Linked DNA regions of Danio rerio. The protein of the gene in region 1 interacts with the protein of each later gene in a pairwise test. Links are inferred from orthologs where the notes say so. Each region holds a gene or a part of one and is shown in the gene's direction. Other genes may lie near its edges.

Region 1 (4,384 bases):
ACAGAACACACACACACACACGCACACACACACACACACACACACACACACTAATAGCCACATCCTATAGAGATAAACTTTATTGACTAACCTAAAATATATATTTTTACATATTTTATAGTTTTATAACCTACAGTTTAAGTGATGTAAGACATATTTGATGCATACTTCAACGTCTTTGAATACAAGCTCTTAATAGACAAATTAATTCGTGAAATGCACATAGTGCTGGACAAGTTATTAATATGCAAATTTAGGTCGAATGTTTACATGATAATACTCGAATACGCGTTCAAATGTAGAAAACCTTTAGATTTTAGCATCAGTAAACTCAATTTGGTTTAGTCGTCCTGAAAGCTGCAGTTCTGAACCAATGACTGTAAAAAAATATGGACGACGCGACAGCCCTTTTTCCCATTGAACGCCTTGAGGGCAAAACGCCTGCTTGACGGGCACAAACTGTCGCAAAAGACTGCTGAAATTGGAGCCAGACATGCGCAGAAGGACTGTCTGATGGAGCCAGAGGAGGAGCCGCGAAAATGAGCAGAGTCGAGCTTCCAATCAAACGCTTTATGTAAAATCAACTACGCCCCCCGAACTTCTCAGCATGCGTTTGCTGTCATATCAACACAAATGGATGTAATAACGTTAACAAATATGAGGGTTTTATATATTCAATCGCGCCAGCTCCAGGCCGCAGCGCACAACTTACTCGCGGCGTCGCGGGCTGATTCCGGCTCGCATGCGGCAGCGCCTGCTCGCTCGGCCGCCGCATCTGGCTCGATTGACTCGGACTGGAATCGGGCAGTGAATCCAGGCATCCGGAGTAGGTCCAGCAGAGGTAACATTAGTCAGTCTGAGCTCTAAGAGAGAAGTCTCCGGCAGGCGAGAATCTAGCCGGAACTGTGTTTTGCTATCTGGGTGGCTAGGCGTGTATCAGCAAACTAATAAAGCCCGAAAAAAGCCCTGAACTTAGCGAATAAACAGTGTTCCACCAGGATCATGTATGTCAGAAACTATAGTTTACTGCTGAACTCATTTTGTCATGGTAAAATAACACAGAAATCGAATAATAACATTTCAGTCTACTTCAGTCTCCTGCCGAAGCTCAGACGCCGCGCTTTGAGAAACTGTAAATCACAGCTGTCAATCACGATGACACGCCCAGCATTAAATTACTGCTAATAACAAACTGTTTACAAAAATGAAGATCTGCACCTATTTCAGCACAATAACCAGTGCCTTAATCGACCAGAACTATCTTTCGGGACATTTTATTGCAAGTGTAATATTTTTTTTTATTTGGGCTCAAGTCTCCTTCATTAACACGGAGGAGGCGGGCTTTATGACTTGTACTGCAGCCAGCCCCCAGGGGGCGATCTAACGGCCGAAACCTTCACTCAAACGTAGGCTTGCGGCACACTTGTTCTGAACACTGCCGCCTCCCGTGCGCATGCGCAGTCAGGGCGGCGAACGGCACTCAATGCTCCGGCTTTTCTCTCGCGAGGAAGGACGCCATTATCGGAATACTCACAAACAACACGAGAATTCATCATTCACACGGTAATATAAACCATTCTGACATGCGACACCTCCTGCTCTCCTCGCGCTTCAAAATATGGCGCTTTGCATTAAAGAAATGCGCATTATCTCGCTGTTTTCGACTCAATTGTGTCCTGCGTGCCATGAAGGGCACAAACGAGGCCTAGATGCATTTCACTCTTGTGTTTTTGAGCTGTTGGTTAGCAGGCGCGAGCTAACAGGCTACATGAGCAGGTTAGCTGTACTGTGCTAACTAGTGTAAACCACTGGGTTTATTAATGGCACTATTTAAGGAGCTACGACTTTTTAAAGAGAGTTTTGTGATGTTCGAAACAAAAAAAAGTGTTGTTTATTGTTCTAAAATGAAATGGTTAACTGGAGTTAAGCTAAATTTGGCTTGTAACCTAGTTATAATCTTAGCTGCTGCAGTATCATATTTGCAGGGAGAATATTTTTGTATTGTGCAATATTACGTATAAGTAAAGACGAGCTTTATGAGTTATATTAACGACATTTTTCACCACCACCAGTTTTTTTTTTTTACTGTTTTATAATATTATCTATTTCCTTTGTCTTTTGTAAATATTATGAAAATATAAAAATTGACTCATCATTTACTCGCCCTTCACGTGTGCGTTAGTATATAATAGTTAATATATATATATATATATATATATATATATATATATATATATATATATATATATATATATATATATATATATAAACCTTTTTTAAATGTTTTGTGTGAGCAAGTATTTTACAGTGCTTTAAAAATACTCAAAAATGTATTTGTCATGGTTTTCAAAGTATTATTTGATTTAACGTTACCAAAGTCACACAAGTGGGAATTTCACATCCATAACGACACTTTTTCCTCATAAATGCAAAAATACTGTCAATATTTTTTCTTCTATAGTAAGCCAGATCTTATCCTTTGATTAGCATTATTTCTTTTGACTTGTGCAGTTTAATTCACAGAATTTTTACAAAGTATACTGTAAACATACTTTTTTTGGTCACATCCATCACGCATGTTTATTTTCTTCTTTTAAAGTGTTCTCTGTACTTTAAATGAGGAAAATAAACATATTTTGTTTACAGACTGATATTATTCAGAGCCCAGTTGTTCAGAAAAATATATATGTTTCAATATAATGTTAAAATAAACTTTCTCTGAATTTATGTTTTGAGTTTTTACTGCAAATATCACATCCATAAAACTGTAATTTATCATATATATATATATATATATATATATATATATATATATATATATATATATATATATATATATATATATATATATAGACAAATGCTATGCATTATGATAACGCCATTATTTTTGTCACCACCACCATGAATGTGTTTTATAATGTTTTTTATTTTGTTTGTGTGGTCTGTAAATATCTGAAAAAAAAATGTTCCAAGACTTATTTTGTACATGGGTATATATAAATTATGTACCATGGTACATTTTATAAATAAATTGTGCTATTATTACTCTGATGCCACAAAGCAGAAATGTAAAATTGTTATGGATGAATAGTCAGTTTTAATTTTTAAAATCTGGACTTGTGAATTGAGGTTTAGTTTTATATTCGTCCATTTGTTCAGTGACAACATGTAATATGCACCCTATATTTTTTTACCGTGGTATTTTAAAATATGCCTTCTGAAATCAAATGTAAATATTAAAATATTAATATTAAAACATTAGCACTATTTATTTGACTGTGAACAATGTTGTTCTTTGATTTTCTAACTAACTTACTTTTAGAATCGGCATAGAATTCTTTTCAGTAATTATATATTATTAGTCTGTGTGAATATAAAACCAACTTTACTTCAGTAAATCGTGAATACACACACACACACACACACACACACACACACACACACACACAAGAAAACATGAAACCTTTAAAATGTCTAGGCTGCAAATTGGGCATTTAAACAACAGCATCTAAATAATTAGCATAATTAGTAATTAAAGCTCTAGAAATGTATTAATAGGAGTAGCATGTAAAAAGTTATTTAAAAATTAAAGCTATACAAATATATAAAACTTACTAATCTTTTGGAGCTACCCACCCAAATTCTTCTATAACATTGATATCAGCATTAAAATAAAATAATAATAATCAAGATATTATAATGAAAAATTTAATATTTAGTTGTGATTTAGAATGTAAAGTATACATACTGATCTCTGTTTTCTTCTTCTTATCTTTTTACCCTCTATGGCAGGGTGCCCAAACTTTTTCTTATGAAGGGCCAATAACTAAACTTGATTTGGGCCAGAGGTAAATATACTAAACTGTAAAGTTGTCAATATAATTTCTTAATTTATTATTATTATCATTATATAATTTAATTAATAATATAATTTATTATATTGAAATTACTCTAATTGTATTAATAATTATACAGTCTTTGTACATCTTATAATGAACATTTTACAATAAAAAACATGAACAATCCCATTTATAACACTAAAATATACATTTTACCTTAATTACTGATGTCGTCTGTGTTAAAAAAAAAAAAATCTGATTCATTCACAACATTTAAAGCAGGTTACCATGGGCCAACATTTGCCGTCAGGCCCTAGTTTGAGGGGTCTCTGCACTATGGCATATTTTTTTACAAGGACAAAAAGTACCCTAATTTGTGGGTCTCTTATTATAATATAAATCAATTCCAAAATGTGCTCCCCCCCCACCAGATTTTGGTTTGTTGCCTCAGGGCAACAACTTTAAATTAGGGTACTGAAACGCAAAGTCTTCCAGTATAATAATATATTTGAAATTAGGAACAAACAAGCCATAAGTACATTAGA
Region 2 (4,128 bases), on another chromosome or scaffold:
ATACATTTTCGTATCTAAAAATTAATATTACAGTGTCTGAAAAGATGGCACCAATGTTATGTTATGCCAAAAAGAGATATAGATTACAAACAAACCAAATAACAGCAGTTTCTGTAAATCTCTATTGGCAAATGAATAGAGAAAGTACTTCTTGCTTTTTGAATTGCTGGTTTTTTTTTTTTTTCCCATTCTTTAGTCACTTGGATACTTTTATTTGTTGGACACATCCAATCATTCCAGGAATCTGAAATAACGCGTTTCTTTAGTAATACTTTTGTAATAACACCAATAATTTATATAACTGCATTTCTTGTTGCTAGCATCACTATATATCGGTAATGTCACACATTTTACTTTACCTAAGGGCTATCCAAAACAAGCGGTGCCCTAACTTTTTCTTACAAACGGCCAAAACCCAAACTTGATTGAGGCTAGTGGGTCGATCGAAGGTAAATATAGTTTCCATGACTTTTTGAATTGTCTTTTGTTTATTTATTAATTTTTCGTATGACTATAACTTGTTGCTCAAATCACTATATATTGGTAATATCACACATTTACCGAGGGGTTAACGTTATCCTAAACATTTTCATGGGACAGCAGCACACACAACTGTATTCTCATTAACGTTACAGACAGTAAACGAGTTAAGAACGCCTAAACACTAGTACCGGCTAAAGTTAATATTGCAATTACAAACAAAAGTCTCCATTTACAGACAGAACAATTTCATTTTGGAGAATTAAAACATGTTGGTGTTTGTCCATCACCTTTAGGTTCTGTAACTCTTTTCAGAAGACACAGTAGCCCGGCCACCTGCGTTCATAATGCAAGGCAAAACCGACACAATTTGCGAAGGTTGATTAATAGCGATTGTTGTCAATTACTTTTGATTGATATCCTTTCTACGTTTCTGACTGGCTAAACGAAAAGTCAGTTAAATTCATACCTGCGTATCATTGGTTCGCCTCATTATTTTGATAGCCTCACAACCCCCGCCTCTCTACTAAAAACTCGACAACCCATTGGTCAAACATATATCCTTCAACTGTCATAGAAAAACGACGTCTTTTCATTAGTCAGAACAAATGTCAATCAGGCAAAAGCTGTTTTCTGATTGGTTATCACTTTTAGCTCTAGATGATTGACAAGTAACCTGATTGGCCAGTAGACCCCGGTGGGGCGGTATCTTTTGTGGGCTCTTCAAGGCTTCACGGAGAGTGAATGTCGTCATGAGCGGTGGGTAGGAATTATAACGTTGATGTTTATATTACAATGTTACTTTCTTAAACATTTTCACGAGCGAACGGACCGATATATGTTAAATATCGTAGCTCGCACGCATGAGTTTTTTTAATCAAACGTAGCACTGCGATTCAAATAAATGCACACTTCCGGAATCACTGTTCTTTTCCGCAGCGAAGAGTTTATCTGGCTAGTTAGCACTTTAGCATGCTAAGCCAGCAGTTTCCTCCTCCATCAGCGCACTCTTGAGTCTGTCTGCACGCAGTCAGGATAACCCTTATAAAGCGGTCTGCATGCTCGTAAAAAAGTCGTAAACACGTGATCGACTGATTAAAAACTAAATATAAAATCAAACTGATGAGATATTTTAAAGCATTCAATTAGCATAGCTCAACCACTTGCAGGCTTCTGACGTTTTAGCTTGTTAGCGTTAGCAGCTTGCATCTTTTATCAAGCCACATAGTCATTAAAACATTTTTTTCTTCAGTGCTGTTGAAATTGTAGTGTAAAAACACACACGTTGGCTGTTAATGATACCGTCGGGATTTTCATACTGAGGAAAATAAATCAGAAATGAATGAAACGTTATGAGAACAAGTTTTAAATGTATCGAACTTGCAAAATATTTCCTATAAACTGTCTATAAAATTGATGTAATTGAAATACATGCACGCATTGAGTTTTTGTTCGCTTTCCAGTACATAAACATGTCGAGTTTGTTTTGTTCGCTTTGACAGCCGTCAGAAAGCATCATAACAGCAAGCGTTTGTTTTGGTTGTGACCGGAGATATTTGTCCACATATGGGGTCAGTTCAGGATGTTTACCATAGATGTGTATATACTAAAGCTGTGCATCTCAGTGCTAATTCTGGAATAGCCCAGCACTTGAGGACCAGGATTGAATATATTTTACACTGTGAAGTGCCACTGTGTGCTATTAGTGGACTGAGTTTTAAACCCTGCCTCGCTGAATCACTGCTCTCGGGGGTTTAGATTATCTCAGGTAACGCCTCCTTAGCTACACTTGTCCTAACTAAAAAAAGTGCATGCTGTTAGTGGTTATTTTATTTTGAACAAAAAAGTCAGAGCATTTGTTTTTTTTTCAGTTCTGTTCACGCACTTTTGATTGAAATGTTGTGGTGCTTTAAAAATTGTGCAAGCTACAGATTAATATGATCTCAAATGTCTTGGATTATTTTGTTCTCACAGTTGGAGAGTTTTGATCTTTTCATTGCATGAATAGATTTACCTTTGTCTTCTCACAGATCAAAAGGACAGTATGGCCACCACTGTCGCAGTCAGTCCCAGTGAATATCTTCAGCCCTCCACCACCACTTCTCAAGTAAGATCCCACGATTCTATATTTTGCTTTAAGGATGAACTGATATTAAATTATTTTTGAGGACAATAGTAAATTTCATATTTCTGCCAAAATTATGATTTTAAATATACAGAATATATTCTCCTGGTAAATTCTGATATATATATATATATATATATATATATATATATATATATATATATATAAATTATTTTTTTCCCCAATTTGTTTATCGGTAAGAAGAACACATTTCTAAAAATAATAATTTTAATTTAATAATTTCTAATAACTAATTTCTTTTGTCTTTGCCATGATGACAGTGCCTAATATTTCTTTGATTTAATTTTTTTAATTATTAGTATTCAGCTTCAAGTGTAATTTTAAGGCTTAATTAAGGTTAATCAGGTTACAAGGCAAGGATAATTAGGCAAATCAAAATGATGCTTTGTTCTGTAGACTATGAGAAAAATATTGTTTAAGGGGCTAATGCTGACCTTAAAATGGTTTAAAAAAATTAAAACAGCTTTTATTCTAGCCGAAATAAAATAAATAAGACTTTTTTCCCAGAAGATGAAATATTATAGGAAATACCGCGATAAAGCCCTAGCTCTGTAAAACATAATTTGGGAAATATTTGGAAAAAAAAAGGATAATTTTGACTTTAACTCTCTTTTTTTTAATAAAAATGTATGGGGAAGGGTAGCCTTAAAGTGGTTATAATCAAAACCTATAAAAAGCTATTTGAACAATAAATAAATAATAATAATAATGTATTTTATTGATCAAAAAGACACAGATGTCCAGCTATTGTTACAAAATGTGCCTGTCAACATTTGGAATCTCATGACCTCAGAAATCAGTGTGTTATTTATCAGAAACAATGCCGTGTTTGTTGGAAATTGTTATAGTTTTCTAAAATTACTTTTCTGTGATCTAAAAAATGTTTCAGCAGTTTTTAAATATGGTAATCATCACAACTGTTTGCAATGTACAGATGTCTGTTTGTAATGTCACAGAGTGAAGTGATTGTTTGGGCACAGCAAAAATTGTCATTTTCCTGAAGAATAATACTATACAAATTAATAAAATCTAATTGGTTATTTGCTGTTGTATTAATATCCTGGTATAATCAAACAGCATATTTAACTCTGGTTTGCACCACAATCTAAAGACATGTGCTATAAGTGAATCAGGTAAACAAAATTGGCCATAGTGTGTGTGTATATGTGAATGGATGTTTCCTAGTTGTAGCTGGAAGGTCTTCCGCTGCCTAAAATATATGCTGGAATAGTTGGTGGTTCATTACACGGTTGTGGCCCCCGATGAATAAAGGACTTAAGCTGAAGGAAACTTAATAAACAGTATATTTGACAACTCTCTCAAATTTCTCTTGCATAGCTGTACCAGTGTAATGTGTACTTCAGGATATTTCTATTTTCGTGCTTTATGAAATATTGCTGTATTTTCTTCATACTTGCATTATAATATTTGAGCGTTATCTTGGAGGAAAGTTTATCAAAAGTGAAAAATTTCTTTTGGTTTTGGTGATTTGATTTCACTAC

The links. The genes of interacting proteins can lie anywhere in the genome.
Region 2: the proteins of banp (region 1) and sp2 interact in binary tests that used the Homo sapiens proteins (3 or more experiments, as listed by UniProt). The two-hybrid records come from large-scale screens. The link is inferred for Danio rerio from reciprocal best matches to the Homo sapiens genes BANP and SP2.

The regions. Positions count from the first base shown.
Region 1 is NC_133200.1:32,852,813-32,857,196, forward strand, and holds the start of banp (protein BANP), read left to right. Parts: upstream 1-1,482; 5' UTR 1,483-1,776; intron 1,777-4,384. UniProt on the Homo sapiens protein: Controls V(D)J recombination during T-cell development by repressing T-cell receptor (TCR) beta enhancer function. Binds to scaffold/matrix attachment region beta (S/MARbeta), an ATC-rich DNA sequence located upstream of the TCR beta enhancer.
Region 2 is NC_133186.1:12,478,113-12,482,240, reverse strand, and holds the start of sp2 (transcription factor Sp2), read left to right. Parts: upstream 1-1,194; 5' UTR 1,195-1,232; coding exon of another isoform or gene 1,233-1,239; 5' UTR 1,240-2,248; intron 2,249-2,510; coding exon of another isoform or gene 2,511-2,524; coding exon 2,525-2,587; intron 2,588-4,128. UniProt on the Homo sapiens protein: Binds to GC box promoters elements and selectively activates mRNA synthesis from genes that contain functional recognition sites.